2 linked regions of the Cricetulus griseus genome follow. The protein of the gene in region 1 purifies or fractionates together with the protein of each later gene. This does not show direct contact. Links are inferred from orthologs where the notes say so. Each region holds a gene or a part of one and is shown in the gene's direction. Other genes may lie near its edges.

Region 1 (4,984 bases):
TCTCCAGAGTGCTGGAGATTAAAAAGGCACAACACAAAGCATTTGAAAGTATAGTATCTTTAATGTAAACAAAGTTAACAATCTTTTGTTTGAGAGTCCCAGAAATGTCAGAGGAAAGAAATGAGGCATACCCAAGGTTATAGTAATAACTTAAGTCTGGGTCACTGCAATTTTTTTTTTTTTTTAAGTTTTCTATGTATACAGTGTTCTGTCTGCATCTATCCCTGTGGGCCAGAAGAGGGCACCAGATCTCATTATAGATGGTTGTGAGCCATCATGTGGTTGCTGGAAATTGAACTCAGGACTTCTGGAAGAGCAGCTAGTGCTCTTAACCACTGAGCTATCTCTCCAGCCCCAGGATCACTGCTATTTTAACATAAATATTTAGATAGGGAAGGAATATTAGCTCTATGTTCCACAACCTTCACAGCAAATGTTAATTGTTCTGAAATTAGTGCTTCTAAAATGGTGAGAGGCTCCCCCCTCCTCATGTTTTTGTAATCTCTGTTTTTCTATCCTCCCTGAGGATGATAGTATGTGCAGTTACAGTGGCCAGGGTAGTCGTGCGGTTGCTTTTCCACCTAAGTAATTTTGTTGAGTTAGCGATCTAAGTCGGCCTATCAGAGGGTTTTGAACAAGATTAGATAGCACTTTGTGAACGCTGTGTGACCTTGGGAAAGTCGCCCAACAACACTGAGATCAATTTGCCAAATAAATAAATAAAATAGCTACACTGCGATCAATTTGTCAAATAAATGACTAAAAGTGGTGTTTCTACTACTGGCTTGCCTGCCTTCCTCGCCGGCGCTCCAGGAAGCTTGGCATCACTGCAGAACCCTGTTTATGTGTGGAGAAACCCTGGGATCTCTCTCTCCATCTTAAACAAGGAGGTTAAGACTAGCAGCGGATTTCCATTCAGTCTGTCAGATGGTTACATCCCCAAATCTCCCCCACACTTTCATATGCACCTGCAGGGGCAGGGATGGTCAACGAGAGCTGAGGCAGGGGGCGCTCACCCAGTCAAAGTCACACGGGTTACCATCTTCGCGCTGCGTGGGGAGACCGTTGCAAATCGGCGGCAGTTTCCTCACGAGGAGGAAAGCAGCGGAGAGCAGGGCAGACAGAAGGCAATAAGGTCGAGCCAGCCATCGAGAAAGCCGCGGCACCGAGTACACCAGAGCAATCAGAGGCGCGAGGACAGCCATCTTCCTTGCCGGTTCTCTCGCAGGCTCCGTTCGGCCCCCAGCCCTTCCCTCCGCTGCCCCCCACCAGCGAGGCTTCTATTGGGCCAAATATCAGATGCAACGCCTCCGGACCCGGATGTAGATCTCTTATTGGGTGCTATGATAGATGAGAAAATGAGTTAGACAGTCTATTGGTCCATAGAGTTGTCGCTCTTCTACCTGAGTCATTTTATTGGCTGTAAGACTGCGAACTACTTCCCAAACTGTCTCTTAGAGCGACGGAAGTAACTACAGGAAGGTGGTAGGCGGGGCCTAGTGTATCCAATGGCCGGAAGCTCTTCGAGGACGAGGGTGGTACCCTGGGAAAGTACTGGCCAATGAAAGTCATTAACGCCAGATCCCGGGTAATGCAGGAGCCGAGAGTGCTATGGAGAATTTCACCGCGCTGTTTGGAGCTCAGGCTGACCCCCCACCACCCCCAAGCGCCCTAGGTTTCGGGCCTGGAAAGCCGCCCCCGCCACCTCCGCCTCCTCCGGGAGGTGGCCCAGGCACGGCCCCGCCCCCGACGGCGACCTCGGCCCCTGCGGGCGCAGACAAGTCGGCTGCTGGAAGCGGCCCCTTCTACCTTATGCGGGAATTGCCCGGTGAGTAGTGGGGTCAAAAGCAGCCAATCAGGTACTGATTAGGTGACGGGTGTGGCTTTCAGCCTGCTGTGCGAGGCGTGAAGCAACGGGCGACGCGTGGCCAGCGGGCAACTCAAGTGTCAGAAGCTCTTGGGCGATTCATAACCCTAAGAGAGAGCTTGATTTCATGGGATGGGTTTGGGGTGGGTGTGACTATCTGGGACTACTGGCGAAAAGTTCTGTGATCCGGTTCTCTGACCGCCGTTTGTGACTCTATAAAAACGTGAGCCATTGTTTGGAACTCGGGAGACCTGATTTAACAATTTTGGAGACGCTAAGACTTTAAAGTCTGTTAGGTGTATAGTAAGTAGCCATCCTTGTCAGGGACTCGGAGATTGACATGTTCAAAGAAAATATTAAAATTGAATTAATTCTTTCATTTATACAATTATTTGGAAATTGGGGGCGCATGGCTCAGTGGTAGGACTCTTACCTGCCATGCATGAGTTTTCACAGGTCTTCTCTGAGTAGATAGCATTCAAGAGTAAATAAAGTTATCGGTGGATAGAAAAGAGATACCTATAGATACGAGAGACTTGATCGATCAGGAGGCGGGGGGTGGGGGGGAAGCTTAGAATATCTAAGGGGTCGAAGACAGATTGGACTCCAGTAAAACAAACAAATCCAGTAGTGATGGGAGATAGGCAAAGACCTTTATAAGGCAATGTAGAGTGTTTAAATTTCAAATTGAAGCCATTTCAACATGGGTGCAAAATGATCTAATTTATTGATTTTCAAATATTCAGCAGCAACATGAGGAATGAAAGTAAGATAATCGGATGTTACCAGCCATTGTTCAGGAAAGAAATAATAGTTTGGACTAAATCTTAGCTGTAGAGAAGTGAATGGATAAAGGATACATGTTAGAGGCAGAGCCTACAGAAATAAATATAAAAAGAGAGAATTGGGGGTGTCTTCTACAGAGGGTATGATAGTCTGAGAGTAAGAAGTTGTGGAAAGAAAAAGTTTGAAGGCCTAAAAATCAAGAGGTGTTAGTCTTAGGGATTTGTGGTACTACACACCAGCACTTAGGAGGTGAAGGCAGGAAGATCTGGATTAAAGCTCAGCCTAGGTGACGAGATCCTGCTTCAAAAAAGGTCCTCAGTTCATTCCAGTAACTATTAGCAAAATAATTTCAATTTCATATCAGTGTGTAACAATATGTAATACTTATAGCCCTTTTAGATAAGTATTGTCTGTGTTTTATAATTGAGAAACTGAAGCATAAAGAAATTGACTGTACTTTAGTGATAGGTGTCTTCCAACAGTTTTCTTTATTTTAGTTGTTTTGATTTTGAGACAGGGTCTCACTGTGTAGCTCTGGCTTGCCTGGAATTCACCGTAGATCTGACGGATCTCAAACTCACAGAGATACACCTGTCTCTGCCTCCAAGTGTGTGCCACCATGCCCAGCTTTCTTTATCTTTTGCATTACCTGTTCTAATTGTACTTGTTTGTGTAAATCAGTTGACAAATAGTGATTTCTGTTCTAGGCAAATGCTGGATATGTGGGAATGGAGGGAGGGATGGTGTGAGAAGTGGAGATTAGTAAGCCTGGTTTTTAGGTAGCTTTTTTTTTTTTTTTTTGAGATTCAAAATACATGGTTTAAGGGCTATGCTTGTATTTTTTGTTGGTGTCAATCTTATTACTTTGTAGTCTTGCTTCAGATATCTTAGGGAAAATATTAAGAACTACTTGATGGTTTTCAGAATGTTGTTAGCCAAAATGACAGCAAGAATAAGCTGTCAGCCGGGCAGAGGTAGTGCATGCCTCTAATCCCAGTACTTGGGAGGCAGAGACGGACAGGTTGTGGGTTCGAGGCCAGCCTGGTCTACAGCATGAGCTCCAGGACAGCCAGGGCTGTTACACGAAGAGCCTTGTCTCGGAAAAAAAAACTAAAAACAAAGAAAAGAAAAGAAAAACAATTTGAATGGAAGAGTAGTATAGTGGTTGATTAGGCCCCAAAGCTAAGTTGGCATAAAAGTATGAGTAGAAAGACTGGGGATGTGGCTCAGTTGGTAGAGTACATGCTTAGTAAGCATGAAGTCCTCAGAAAGGGCCAGGAGAACTGGAGAGATGGCTCCAAAGTTATGAGGTTAAGGGCACTTGGTTCTTTCAGAGGACTCCAGCTTGGTACCCAGAACCTACATGAGAGCCTCACAATTACCCCTAACTCCAGCTCCAGGGAACCCAACACCCTCTACTGGGCTCCACAAGCAATCAAATAATATGTGGAATGCATTCACACATCACAACACATATACACACAAATGAGGTAAAATTAAATCTTTCAGGCTGAGTTCACACCTTCAGTCCCAGAACTCTGGAGGCAGAGACAGGTGATCTTTGAGTTCAAGGCCAACTTGGTCTATATAGGGAGCTTCAAGGCATCCAACGAGAGAGGAACAGACAGAGAGACTGTCTAAAAATTTTTTAAATAAATCATTTTTAAAAAGCATTAGGCTCAGGGGCTAGAGAATTGGCTTAGTGGTTAAGAGCCCTTGTTCTTGCAGAGGATGAGGGCACAATTCACAACACCCACTCGGAGGCTCACCACTTCTGTAGGCATCATGCATGCATATAGCAAACAGACATACACTCAGGAAAAGCACTCATACATACAAAGTAAAGTAAATCTAAAAAAAAAAAGAAATAATTTTTTAAAAAGTATTAATTAGACTTGGGAGGCAGGGACAGGCGGATCTCTGTGTGTTCAAGGCCAGCCTGGTCTATAGAGTGAGTTCCAGGACATCCTAGGCTACACAGAGAAACCCCGTCTTGAAAACAAACAAAAGTATTAGGCTCAAGTGCCATGATTTTTTTGTTGTTTGTCTTGAAAAACAATCATGGCACTTGAGCCTAATACTTTTGTTTGTTTGTTTGTTTGTTTTCAAGACAGGGTTTCTCTGTGTAGCCCTGGCTGTCCTGGAACTTGTTTCCAGCCTCCCAAGTGCTAAAATTATAATTAAAAGCATGCGTCACCACCGAGTGGATTGAGTGACTTGTACCATGGGAATTTAAATAATAGTTTCTTTGCATCTCTCCAACCCCCCAGTACCTAAAATCATACTCAAGGCCTTCCACATTGCTACACAAGCACACTACCACTGTTTTCT
Region 2 (5,013 bases), on another chromosome or scaffold:
CCAGCACTGGGAGGCAGAGGCAGGAGGGATCTGGATTCCAGGCTAGCGTGGGCTACTTAGCAAGACTCTGTAGGAAAAACACCCACCCATCCATGCCTGGTGGCGCCCGCCTTTAATCCCAGCACTCAAGAGGTAGAGGCAGGCGGATCTCTGAGTTCGAGACCAGCCTGGTCTACAGAGAGTTCCGGGACGGCTAGGATACACAGAGAAACCCTGTCTCAAAACAAAACAAGCAAACAAACAAAAAACAACAACAACAAAACACAGGGAAGGAAGGAAGGGATGGAGGCAGGGAGGGAGGGAGGGAGGGAGGGAGGGGGAGGGAGGAGGGAGGAAATACAAGAGCTAGAGAGGTAGCTCAGCATGTAAGACCACTTGCTGTTTTTGCAAAGGACCAAGTTCAGTTCCCAGCACCCACGTAGGGCGGCTTCTAATAGTCTGTAGCTCCAGTCCAGGGGCTCCGAGGACCTTTTCAGGTCTCTGCTGGCACTAACACAGACAACTCAAAGTAACAACGAAATCTTAGCCGGGTGGTGGTGGCGCACACCTTTAATCCCAGCACTCAGGAGGCAGAGGCAGGCGGATCTCTGTGAGTTCGAGGCCAGCCTGGTCTCCAGAGTGAGTGCCAGGACAGACTCCAAAGCTACAGAGAAATCCTGTCTCGAAAAAACCAAAAACACAAAACAAAGAAACAACGAAATCTTAAAATCTCAGACGTCTAATGTAAGCCCCCTGGAAGCTCAGGCCTCCAGAATCCTTTCCCAGGACTGCGGCCATCCCAATCATCATGAGGAGTCGGAAACTTGATGCAAACAGCAAGAGGCTTTAATGAAAGGTAGACGTTTGTACGAAGGGGCTCTCTCAGCATGCAGGCTAGAGAGCAGCCCCGTCCCCCAGGCACAGGCCTTTTTAAAGGCAAAAACCACAAGCTTAGGGAGGGGTGTGACCAGAGTCACAGGTGCCTAAGAGACCCTTTGTCTTGAGGAGAGGGCTGGGAATCAGATGGCCTCCTGACCCACCAGCTGTAAAACCTGCAGACCTCAGGATATGCTTAGCTTGCTTGAGCAAATGGTACCTATCTCTTTGTTTCACAGGGACACTTAATTGTTAATGATTGACACATTGGCCGGTGGGGCAATCTGTTTTTTTCATGAGCCCCTCGGGGAGGGTGGCCATCTGGGAATTCTTGGTACCCAGTTATATTATGGCCTTGTAAGGGAGTAATTGCTTGCGGCTGGTAAATTCCAGGCCCTAAGTCCTAATAGTGGCCTTAGTTTCCGAGTTAGGCCGCCCTACATTCAGTTTGGAGAGTTTCCTTATCTGGGCTATATTTCTTTGCTAATTTTTAAGTCTTTCACTAGCAAGTGAGAAGCCACACCACCCTTTCTCTACAGCCGGGGCTTAGCCCGGCAGACACACCTGACCGCCCTAGGATTGGGGAGACTTTGTAGCGTGGCTGAGGGCGAGCGTTTAACAGGCTGCTGGGCTGTGTGCGGAGGAAGCAGCTCAAGCGACCGTTTTCCTGAAGATTCACCCCTGCGAGCCACCGAGCTAAGCCAACGGTCCTGAAAAAAAGTATTTTTAATTGACATCTCCGGGGCCTGGGGGAGAGCCGCGCGCTGAAGGGCAGCCAAACAAAAGAGAACCCTGTGCAAACGGCGACGAGCAAATGGCGACGAGCAAATGGCGACGAGCCCGAGTCTCGAACCCGCGACCGCCGCCGGAGCGAGAGCTGCTTTCGGCTTCCGCCGTCGCCTGTGCCCAGCCCGGGCTCTCGGCGGCGGAGGGGACGGGGCGGGGGCGGGGCTCCTGCGCGTCATTAGGCAGCGCCGGAAGCGCGCGGTCCGCGCCGGTAGTGAGTCCGTCACTGAGGACGCGGGGGAACGTTTGTGTGCGTACCGAGACTCTGCTTGGAGCCGCGGAGGTGAGAGATCGGTCTGAGGGCAAAAAAACTGGCTTTAGAAGGTTTTAGAAAGTTCCCGGGTGCCCGGGAGAGCTGGCTCCACGCCGCCTGGGCGCTCGGGAAACGGAGGCAGGGGACTGCCGCCTTCAGCAGACGGACGCCCGGGCTTTGGGGTTGGCTTGGGCGATGAAGTGAGTTCCGGGCCAGCCTGGGCTACCAAGTGGGGAGCCTCTCAAAGAGCCAAATAAACGTAAATAAATGGTCGGTGACTGGGCTGGAGGGGCGGCTCAGAGGTTAAGAGCGCCGATTGCTCCTCCAGAGGTCCCGGGTTCAATTCCCAGCACCCACATGGCAGCTCACAGCTGTCTGCAACTCCAGTTCCAGGGGACCTGACACCCTCACACCAACGCACATAAAATAAAATAAATTTAAAAAATGATTTATGACAAGATCCCCGGCGGAGTTAGCGGATTTTTGTGGGTTTTTTTTTTTTTTAGTTTATTTGTTGTTTGGTTTTTCGAGACAGGGTTTCTAAGTTTATTTTTATTTTTTGTGCATTGGGTATTTTGCATGGATGTCAGCTGGGTGCCCTGGAACTGGGGTTGCACACAGTTGTGAGCTGCTATGTGTGTGCTGGGAATTGAACTCAGGAGGAGCAACCGGTGCTCTTAACCTCTGAGCCATCTCTCCAGCCCCCCCCCCCTTTGCTTCTTAGTGTCGGGAGACGCTGGGCACACAGAGAGCTGTGCTTAGCCTCGGTTTCCCCGAGTGTAAAGAGTGATGCCCTCTGGCACCTTCAAGAGTGTCGTAGACCTTCGAGATGGATTCTGTGTTGTTGAGAATGTGTTTCCTCCTTCAGACCCAGCCCACAGTTGGTGGGGAAGGGGGGGTTTCAAATAAGGAATTATGATTTTTTTCCCCCTCATTCTGTAATACTGGGGTTTGATCCTCGAGCCGCTGTGTTCTGGGCAAACATTCTACACCTGAGATTTTCTCTTCACCCCGGAATCAGGACCTTGCGTAGCTGCTGGGGAAAAGGGAGCCTGGTTGGTTTTGTGTGATGATCTTGTTATTCAAGCTTTGGCTCTGATTTCAGGCACTAGCAATGGACGCGCAGAAAGACGTCCAACCCCCAAAGCAGCAGCCGATGATATATATTTGCGGAGGTAAGATTAACATTTAAGTAGGAACGTTTTTTGTTGTTGTTTTGGTTTTTTGGTTTGTTTGGCTTTTTTTTTTTTTTGCTTTTGTTTTGTTTTTTTGAAACAGGGTTTTTCTGTGGCTTTGGAGCCTATCCTGGAACTCACTCTGTACACCAGGCTGGTCTCCAACTCACAGAGATCCCCCTGCCTCTGCCTCCCTAGTGCTGGGATTAAAGGTATGTGCCACCAATGCCCTGCTTAAGTAGGAACATTTTACCTCAACTTTCCATATATGAGTACTGATCTTCAAAGTTATAAAGCGGAGCACTCAGGAGGCAGAGGCAGGGGGATCTCTGCGAGTTCAAGTGAAACACTTTAGCATCATTAATGTAAAAGTCCCTCGTTAAGATTTGTCTTTTCATCAGGAAAAGGTACGCTGCCGACAGCTCTTTTCTTTCCTCCTTGGTGTATTTAGTTTCGGGGCTTTGACTTGCTCTGGCGAAGTCTGTGGTTATATTTGGTTCCCTGTAGTGTTTCTCTTTCAGGCATTGACTGAACGTGTTTTATTCCCTAGAGTGTCACACGGAAAATGAAATAAAGTCCAGGGATCCAATCAGATGCAGAGAATGTGGATACAGAATAATGTACAAGAAAAGGACAAAAAGATGTATCCTTCTGACTGGGCTTTCTAAACGTAAAGAGGAATAACTAATACTCGGTTGATAAAGACCAAGTTCTGACAAAAGTAGCAACTTTTGGGTTGTTTATTTTTCTAAGCAGATTGAATGTGACTTTATTAATGAAGAGTTTATTAACTGAGAATGTGGGGGGCTCTGAAGGACGTAAATGTATATTATTTTAATATGAATTATTTTTCACCAAACTTGGAGAAAAGAGGCAGGCAGAGCTTTGTGAGTTCAAGGCCAGCTAGAACTACTAAGTGAGACTCAGTGTCAAAAAAAACAAATAGGGGCTAGAGAGACTCGTCAGCAGGCAGGTAAGGGCATCGGCTGTTCTTCCAGAGGACCTGTGTTCTGTTTCTAGCACCAACATAATTACTCATGATCCTCTGTAACTCCAGTTTCGGGGGTCTGATCCCTTTTTCCGACCTCCACCTGTACAAAGGACCCAAGTGTGTGTGTGTGTGTGTGTGTGTGTTTAAAAAACCCTGTAAGTGATTTTAGCTTTTATTTTACTTTTTTTTTTTTAGTTCAAATTAGAAACAAGCCTACTTCGATTGTCAATCCCTGCTCCCTCCTCTCTCTAGCCCTTCACCAACTCACCACATCATCCCCCCCTCTGCTCCCCAGGGAGGGTAAGGCCCTCCATGAGGTATCCCCAAAGTCTGTCATATCGTTTGGGATAGGGCCTAGACCCTCCCCCATGTGTCCAGGCTGAGAGAGCATCCCTCCACGTGGGATGGGCTCCCAAAGTCCTTTTGTACACCAGCTCTTTTTTTTTTAAGTAAACATGATTAGTGTTTTCGTGCCATTCATTATGGGCTCTAAGTAATTAAAAAATTAATCAATTTGGGTTTATGTAAATGTTTTTAGTTTTTTCAGGAATTCTTTGTTAGAAGTAGTCACTCTTGATTGTTAGCTTATGGGTAATCTAAAGTATGGGAGGAGAAATTAATAACCTAGTGGAAAATAGGCCTACAAATTAGTCCAAATACTGAAATTGTTTCAGTGTAACTGACACAGACTCTCAAAATCATCAGTGTTTCAGTGTTTTAAAATATCTTTTTCGTATTATCTTTTAAAATTTACCTATATTGTTATCTTCTGTGTAATAGAGAGTGAACTAATGAAAATGGAAGCTGAGTATTTTATTTTTTTAGATTATCTCCAGTGGCCATAATGAAGTTCAGTCTTTTGTTCGTTTTATATGAAACAGCAAGCTTGGTGCAGAGGTGGTGACTTGGAAGCCTCAGTTTTACATAGTTTTTATGTACTGTTTAAAATCCTT

What was found. The genes of interacting proteins can lie anywhere in the genome.
Region 2: the proteins of Med19 (region 1) and Polr2k purify together in Homo sapiens (affinity purification with mass spectrometry; 3 studies listed by BioGRID and IntAct, with this or other methods). This does not show direct contact. The link is inferred for Cricetulus griseus from reciprocal best matches to the Homo sapiens genes MED19 and POLR2K.

What each region holds. Positions count from the first base shown.
Region 1 is NC_048599.1:90,851,664-90,856,647, reverse strand, and holds the start of Med19 (mediator of RNA polymerase II transcription subunit 19), read left to right. Parts: upstream 1-1,523; 5' UTR 1,524-1,611; coding exon 1,612-1,828; intron 1,829-4,984. UniProt on the Homo sapiens protein: Component of the Mediator complex, a coactivator involved in the regulated transcription of nearly all RNA polymerase II-dependent genes.
Region 2 is NC_048603.1:15,287,970-15,292,982, reverse strand, and holds the start of Polr2k (DNA-directed RNA polymerases I, II, and III subunit RPABC4), read left to right. Parts: upstream 1-1,827; 5' UTR 1,828-1,924; intron 1,925-2,999; 5' UTR 3,000-3,008; coding exon 3,009-3,069; intron 3,070-3,619; coding exon 3,620-3,712; intron 3,713-5,013. UniProt on the Homo sapiens protein: DNA-dependent RNA polymerase catalyzes the transcription of DNA into RNA using the four ribonucleoside triphosphates as substrates.